Linked DNA regions of Nothobranchius furzeri. The protein of the gene in region 1 interacts with the protein of each later gene in a pairwise test. Links are inferred from orthologs where the notes say so. Each region holds a gene or a part of one and is shown on either strand. Other genes may lie near its edges.

Evidence for each region.
Region 2: the proteins of c11h5orf22 (region 1) and transcription elongation factor 1 homolog interact in binary tests that used the Homo sapiens proteins (3 or more experiments, as listed by UniProt). The two-hybrid records come from large-scale screens. The link is inferred for Nothobranchius furzeri from reciprocal best matches to the Homo sapiens genes C5orf22 and ELOF1.

The regions. Positions count from the first base shown.
Region 1 is NC_091751.1:66,270,444-66,274,685, reverse strand, and holds the start of c11h5orf22 (UPF0489 protein C5orf22 homolog), read right to left. Parts: upstream 2,810-4,242; 5' UTR 2,625-2,809; coding exon 2,556-2,624; intron 1-2,555.
Region 2 is NC_091747.1:74,776,886-74,780,650, reverse strand, and holds transcription elongation factor 1 homolog, read right to left. Parts: upstream 2,377-3,765; 5' UTR 2,362-2,376; coding exon 2,246-2,361; intron 2,151-2,245; coding exon 2,080-2,150; intron 1,635-2,079; coding exon 1,570-1,634; 3' UTR 508-1,569; downstream 1-507. Other genes in the region: pld6 (mitochondrial cardiolipin hydrolase), read left to right, coding at 3,535-3,713. UniProt on the Homo sapiens protein: Factor involved in transcription-coupled nucleotide excision repair (TC-NER), a mechanism that rapidly removes RNA polymerase II-blocking lesions from the transcribed strand of active genes.

The sequences.
Region 1 (4,242 bases):
CCGGCCAGCGGTGCGAGTGCGTAGCGTGCCCCCGATTTTCAAGTCAGGAAGTTGACCACGCCCCCATTGCACCCTTAATCTGCACTTCACCGAAGTCTGCAGTGATGTGGGCTTCGGGCAAGGGCATCACCCACAAGTCAATGCTGCAGGAGAGAAGGCTCAAGTTCCTTTTCGGAAAAATATGTATTTTCTAATGAAATTACTTAAAGGGACTTTACAGAGTTTTGAATTTTTATGCTTGCGATTGTCCCCTCAGGCCAAAAGCGTAACGGCAGCTTCAATAGTAGGCTCGTGCACGAGGCGCGCATGCTGTACGTGCACACTCCTTAACGAAAATAACAGCTGAGACAGTCCCGTGTGTGTGTGTGTGTGTGTGTGTGTGTGTGTGGGGGGGGGGCCCGGAGGACAGAGGACAGGAGAACGTGCAGCTAATTAATTAAATAATGTGGTTCTGTAGCTTTCTCTTCAGCACAGCCGACAAAGGTTTAAGATGGGTCAGTCCTCCTGCATGCTCAGATCATTCCCTTCCCTTGCTTGAAAAATTGTTCCAAAATGAAAGTTGAACCCACATCTTTTTTTATCTGTGAATTCAATGCCGTTCGGCGAGTCTCAAATAAAAATTTGGGCATCTTACTGTAAAAAAAATATACCATTAATGTAAAATAGAGACTCTAAACCAACTATGCTGACATCCAGAATCAAACCCAGGACTTCTGCACGAGAGTCCGACGTCTAACTAGGTGAGCTAAAGCGCCAGTGACGTCTTTTGTATCTGTAACATTTATATCATTGATGACAGCTGAAATAACGTTCAAAGAACGGTTTGGAGTGAAAATGGCTATTTTGTTGCTAATTTGCAGGAAATATCTAGAAGAAAGTTCTACAGAAAGTAGCTAAGGGTCCTCAGAAATTTAGCTAGCTTTGTCACTAGGCGTTAGGAACAGCGACAAAGTGGCACTGCCTCTCTCTCTGCTGTTAAAGCTACGGATAGCAAATGCTACGGGCGATGCCTGAGCGTGAACGCGCATGAAGCAGCCTGCTCGACCCGAGCAGCTCTCTTTTTCTGTGATTTTACAGAAAAACAGGCAATCACAGTAAAAATGCCAGGGCTCATTCTACAGGACCAGGGCATTGCAGGAGAATGTATGAAGAAGACATTTATTATTTCTATACATGTTTTGGCTGTCAAACTTCCATAATGTCCCTTTAATTTTAGGATGATTAGTAGATGCTCTAAAACTTTTAGACAAAGCAGCAATAAATGTAAATTAATTTCAAATAGCTGTTTATTTAACAGTTGTTAATAAAGGTTTTAGAAAAAAGTATCACAGCGACCAGCATCCCGGCATGCGCTGTGATCGGTGACGCAATGCTCCCTGTCTCAATTCTACAATTATTTGCACACTTGTGCACTACGCACTCGAACCCTACTGCACACTTTGCTGAAGACCACAGGGTGCAGTGCAAGTAGTGAGATTGGGCCAAACTCTGTTTGCTCTGCAACACAAGCCTGGAGGAGTTCTGCCATGTTGTGGAGTTGCTAACGCTAACAGTTAGCTTCTACTAGGCAAGACACTCTGCTGTTTGCTGGACGCCAACCTGAAAACAGCCTTCCCCATCGTGACGGAAGTGTCATACACATTCACCACCAGCCCATCCGAACACCTCCAGCCTGGGTTTGAACCAGCAACCCACTTCCTGTTTCCATTTGACAGACATGTCTGCACCATTTTGGCCACAACGTTGCTTCATTTACACACTGTATGAAAAAGAATGTGGGCATGAGAAATCAGTGACTCTCCCATAGTCAGCTCTGATTGGTTGATCAGTTTCCAGTAGGGCAGGTGTGAAGTAAACTAATTAATAGCCTGGTCAGATTGTGGGCTGGAGTGTCCAGTCCTCTGGCAACAGTTGCTCGGAGCGCACTTGTTTGTTTTGACATTTGAACTGCAGTACCCAAATTTGACCACGGGATAATTTTTCTTACTTCATGCCCCTTTAAATTTACATCAATATGAAACCTGTCCAACCTGTAAAAATAAAGACGCGGAACTGCTCTTTGGCTAAATGAAGAACGGCTGTTGGGCCTCTCACTTTCTGGCTCCTCTCCCATCATCACTACAGCAGCAGCAGGAATGGGATCCCAGAAAGCACCTTGTTGGTACACAGATGATAAAGTAAATCTGTCATTTCAGCTAAAAAGGAAATCTGCTCCAAATAGCTGCCTCTGCTGGTAGATCACACACTTTTATCATGTTGCCTAAAATCGTCTTTGATTACCCCAAAACAATAAAACCATCTATTCCTAATTGTTGCGCAGCTCTGTCATATAATTCACAAAGGGAAGGAGAAAAGTTTATAAACCGTTTCTCAGTTGTTGTTTTTTTTGTTTGTTTGTTTGTTTTTTGGTCTTTGAGGGACTCCGTACAACATTTATGAGTTTATTTTTAGAACCGAGTCACCCGTTTCGATCACATCACGTTCACAAGAAACAAGTGGAAGAGGCTATCAATGGTCGCGACAGCTGCTGTATTCATTCTAAAGCCCGTCCTTACTTCGTGGTGGTCCTCCACTATCCACACAGGCAGCTTCCCGTAGGACCTCTTCTGCGGAGCGGAACTCATTTTCACCTCGTTTCACTTCGGTTAGAATAGTAATATCTGCTGAATGGATTCGAGCGAACTACCGGCTCGCTGCTGTAGCCTTTCTCCGGATGGGAAACATTTCAACAAGCAGGCATGAGCGCAGAACCCCAATGGTGTTGTGTCGAAATGTGTCACCTCGTAGAGTTCCGTCCCCGCCCGGGGAGATCTCCACCTCAGGCCGAGTTTCTCCGGCTAAAAGCTGACCTTGTGGGATTAAACGGATTATAAACGTGATGACGTAACGAGTGATGTTTTTATTATCATTATTTTTAATTTATTTATTTGTTTTTTTCTTTTTCGTAACGAGTGGTGTGTAATGGACAAATCTACAAGCTTCAATGTCAATATGAATGAATCAAAAGGGTTTATGTTCTAAAACGGACAGAAACTAATCAGGGCCATTTATTTATCATCTTTTGTATGTTTAAGCGTTTGGCTTTAAACTTTAAACGCGCCTGATTAAAGCAACGAGAAACGGAACGAAACTCGTCGGGGAAACATATGTCGGCACAACACCTGGAAACAGAACCATTGCTGTTGGTTTCCGGCCAGAAACAAGTTTAAGAAGAGAAGTTCTTGTACGAAAATAAACATGACATAAAATGTAAAAACTAAACTAAAATGATTTTATATGAATAAGAACAATGAAGAGGTTTAAACCTCAACATGCCTTAACAGGCTCCGCCAGTCGTGTTATTTCGGTTTATTTAAACTGGATTTTTCAGTCAAAAAGGGAGATATTAGCAATGTTTATTACAACAAAATGATGAAGATGTTAGGGACATGGGTGGGATTTTTATTATTATTAAAAATGGTTTTATTACAGATATATCGTTTTCTTTCAAAATCTGCCAATGTTTCGTTAACCAGATATAGTACCACCAAACAGGCACAAGAGGGCGACCGTGTTTGGTCAGTGTTGTTTTCTCCACTTATGCTGGATTCAGCTCATGGAGAGAGGAGGTAGCACTCCTAATGCAGAAGCCTCTGTTGCCATGGGGACAATTACTGTTCACCCTCTACTGTTTTGTTGCTGCATGTGCACATGGTTCATACATTTAACTTTCATATGCTTCACTGAGCTTTTATTTACCAGTAGGACTGATATTTTTAGTCTTTAGTGTTTAAAAGTACATTTAAAAGTATACATCAGTGGCCTGATTGTTCCATATGTTCCTAACCGAGCACTTCGCTCTCAGACTGCAGGTTTACTGGTGGTTCCCAAAATATCTAAAAATAGCATGGGATGCAGATCTTTTAGCTATCAGGCTCCTCTCTTATAGAACCATCTCCCAGCTTTAGTCATTGAGGCAGACATCTTTTCTACTTTTAAGACTAGGCTTAAAACATTTTTATTTGATAGGGCCTATGGTTAAAATCTGATGTTAGCCCAGATCTGGACAAGTGGGGGAGTACAGGGAGGTGGAGTGTACAGTCGGTAAAGACGGCTCTCCCTTGCCCTGACTCCAACATGCCTCCATCTAAAAGGCTAGGTTATCCAGAGTTATCTCTGTAGTTATGCTGCTATAGGCTTAGACTGCTGGAGGGCATACTGACCACTTTCCACACCCTACTACTTTCTTCTATAATTTGTACT
Region 2 (3,765 bases), on another chromosome or scaffold:
CTAGGGATGATCGCTGATGGGAGTTTTGTGACCGTGTTTATGTTTAATAGCTTGTTTAATAGATTTGCTATAGTAGCTTTGAGGTGGGATAAGCTAACCGCTGAACATAGCCAAGATCAAAGTGGATCTCTGCTGCCCAACAGCTCACATCACAGCTAAATTCTCAGCTGTTCCTCCTGTTATTGTACATCCTTCTATAAAAGTTGTACTATTTAGCTTAAATACTATTTGCAGTAGTAAAAATACCCGTGGCAGCAACACAGCATAATCTCAACATTTCTGTGTTGTGTTCAGACTAGCTGTTAGCACATCAATCCTGTGGAACGTAAACCTTTAATCCCCAAGCTATAGGACCATATCAGCAATACTAAAAATAGTAAATATTGATAATTATCACTATTTGATGGCATTATTTAAATGCTGACCCATACCAGAGTTTCTGTTTGGTTACTAAAATAAAACAAATGTCTTATATATATATATAAATAATTAAACAAAACACTTCAGTGAATTTTATTCTTTATTTCCTTACTTTTACAGTTTAAGAGAATTTAAACTCTGGTTGATGTCTTACAAATGATTACAGAGCAAAAACAGTACACAGAGCCAGGTTCATAGGCATAATTCAAGAAATAAAATACTTTTTCTTCTGCGCAGACGCTTTATTCCTCTTGAAGTGTTTTGATTTAGCGTGAAGAAAAGACCGAAGCTGGTAAAAACCTCCAGCTGAGATGAAATTTAAAGGATTTGTTTTTGAAGTGGGATGAACTAAAACTGTGGCACGACTCCTTATGAAGAGGTAGAGATGTTAGTACCACCAGCATGCTTGACTGAAAATGGATAATACAGGTTATTTCTTAACAAACATAAAAACACTTGAATTAATGGCAATATGTATAAAAGCAGCTTAATCTAACAGAACCATGTGACAGCAACCAGCGACTTCCTCCTGCTGATTCTCTGCAGACGGTAAGAAGATCCTGCTGCTGCGTTCACATCTGTAGGACCTCATTGTTCAAGTTTCTGGAATGATCAACTTCTGCCTGTTTATGGGTCTTTTTCCTGTTGCTCGTGAGTTTTGCACAGTTTGCATTTCACAATAAAATACCAAAATTTTCCTCTTTCCTTACTTTACAGATCTGTCATATAAAGCTGTGGTTATTATGCTTAAAATAACCCAAATAATCTATAAATTAGGACTTTTTTGTATTTTAAAACTATTTTTTTGAAATTCTTCATTAATTGCAGACTCATCCAATAATGTAGAAAAAAAAAAACAGAAAGCCCGTCTGATTGTGAGACAAAACAAAAACTATCCTGACAAGGAAAAATGTAGTTAAAGCTACAGCTGTGGGCCTAATTGTTTCAACAGAAGAGGAAAACTTTGGATTTCACAAATTACTCTGAGCACAGTTTTGCTGAAGACCCCATAAAGTAAAATTTTGATCACAGAGCTATTAAACCTCTGAATGACATAACTGAAATAGTCTGTGGCGTTGAGTGGACACACCCCACCGGCCACACACTCTTCTTCTCGGCTTTCCTGAGATGCATTTAACTCTACGAGGGCTACTGATTGGCTGCTTCACACGCATCTATCCAGTCACTGTACACATCAACTGGTTCAGACAGATCTAAAGAGTAACAGATTAAGGAAAAACCAAAGAAATCTAATTCTATGAAATAAAGTTAAAAGCAAATACAGAATAACCAGCAGTTTCCATCAGATAAAATACAATTCTGAATCTGTGTCATGAATTAATCAGGAGATGGAACTGTGGATAACATTTTCTTTATTTTTACCTCGTCCTCTGTACACTGCTACTTGTGAGGGTGACCCTGTGCTCCTGCTCTCTGTTGATAGTTGTAACTATCAACAGCCATAAACATGTTGATCTTTAGCTTCTGAAGTCTAAAACAGTAAATCAATATTTTTACTTGACTACACTAGAAATTAACCACAATTAGGTCTAATGTTATATATCTAGTTAATATGAGAGATTGCTCATTTAATAATTTGGTTAGATGAACTCTGACAGCCCATTAATAGACTTCACCTACGGATGGGAGAAAGGATACAGGTGATGGGAGTCTGGAACTCCTCTAAGCAGACGGAACATGATATTACCCCAGTGTTCCTGCTTCTTTCCCTGTTGGAATTCAAGGAACTCTATCAGATTAACAGACTCCTAAAAGAGATGAAAAATCACTACAACAGTTGTGTTTTGATGGCAGGTGAATTTACATTTTGACATCACATGACTTCTCGTGGTTGCAAAATGGGCAGGTGAACTGATTTTCCAAGTCCCCTGTCATCTTTTTCTTAGGGGGAGGCTTTCTTTTGGATTTGCGGCGACCCATTTCACATAAACAGCATCAACTCTGAAAGAAGCAGAAGACAATCCGCTTACACAAGAACTCACGAGCGAATGAGAGGAAATATGTCTGGTTGTTTGAGCCAAAAACCGCGTCTACTTGGCACAAACTTGCTCCACAAAACTGACGGTAAGTTAGCATGCTAACATTAGCATGTTTGTTTTGAGTCACGTGGACGTCATTCAGCTAACGAATCGACCTACGTAGAATATTTACTAAGACTGTTTTTGGTTAAGTTTCGATTGGTACCGCATAGAAAGCGTGAGGCGAGAGTTAAATGGTAATTAGTAAAAGTTTAACTTTGTTTACCTTCCTGAGTTGGAAACACACGTTGCTACCCAGCAGAGAGTTGGGCTAGGACCCAGTTCTGTTGTCCGTTCCAGTCAGATGATTGGGAGAAAGCTTGAGCATACTTGTCAGCTATTGGTTGTCTGATACGTCAATCATTTAGAAAGGGTGACGACACAGCCTGAGACCGCTGTTTCCGCATGGCGGCGACAGAAACTCTACAGGTGTTTAAAATTAGTAGACGTTTTGACTATTAGTGACCCTTCAAAGATCTTCAATAGTTTTAGTTTTTATGAGGTATGTGTCACAGCTTCGTCTTTGTGTAGTTCTAATGAAAAAACACCAACTTTATGTTAGAATTTACCTGAAAATTAGCCTCACAACGCTAGCTTAACAAAGCTAAAATTGATGATATTTCACTGATTAGTTTAATTTTTAGCTTGTCAGATTAGAAGTTGCCTCTTAGAACTAATATAATAAGTAAACAAATTTAATTTCACATGATTTTAGTAAAAGTTTTAGTATTTTTATTGAAAAAGCCGTTAGTCAAAGTAACATCAATTAAAAACAATCTATTATTCCCGGACGTAATTTACACTGGCGTTATTGACGCTTGCTGAAATGACGTGTCCTACTCTACAACTTTTTACAGACGATTTTTCAGTATTTTGTGTTTATTTTTAAGCAACAAGTTGGACTTATTCAGTCCACAATGTTGTGAAAGGTTCAATGATACAGGTTGATTCAATGATACAAAACCTTTGCAGCCCATGTGTAGGCACAAGACAAGATGTCATATTGTAATTCATACTTGAGTCATTTTGTGTGTTGATGTGGTCAGTTTTAGGGTTCGATTAACTGTTTTGGAAGATGTCGGTGCTGCAGGCCGTCAAGATGGTCAGCCTGGGGTTTGTGGTGCTCTCCTTCAGCCTGGAGCTGCTGGCCAGGCTCTTTGGCCGGCTGAGGCGAAGACGAACCCTCAATGAGGTCCTCTTCTTCCCCTCAGAGGTGGCCTGTGTGCAGCACTTCTTCTCTCCTTTTCCAGCTCAGTGAGTGACGGGAACATTTTGTAATTAAATACAGGCTAGATTTCCATAGCTT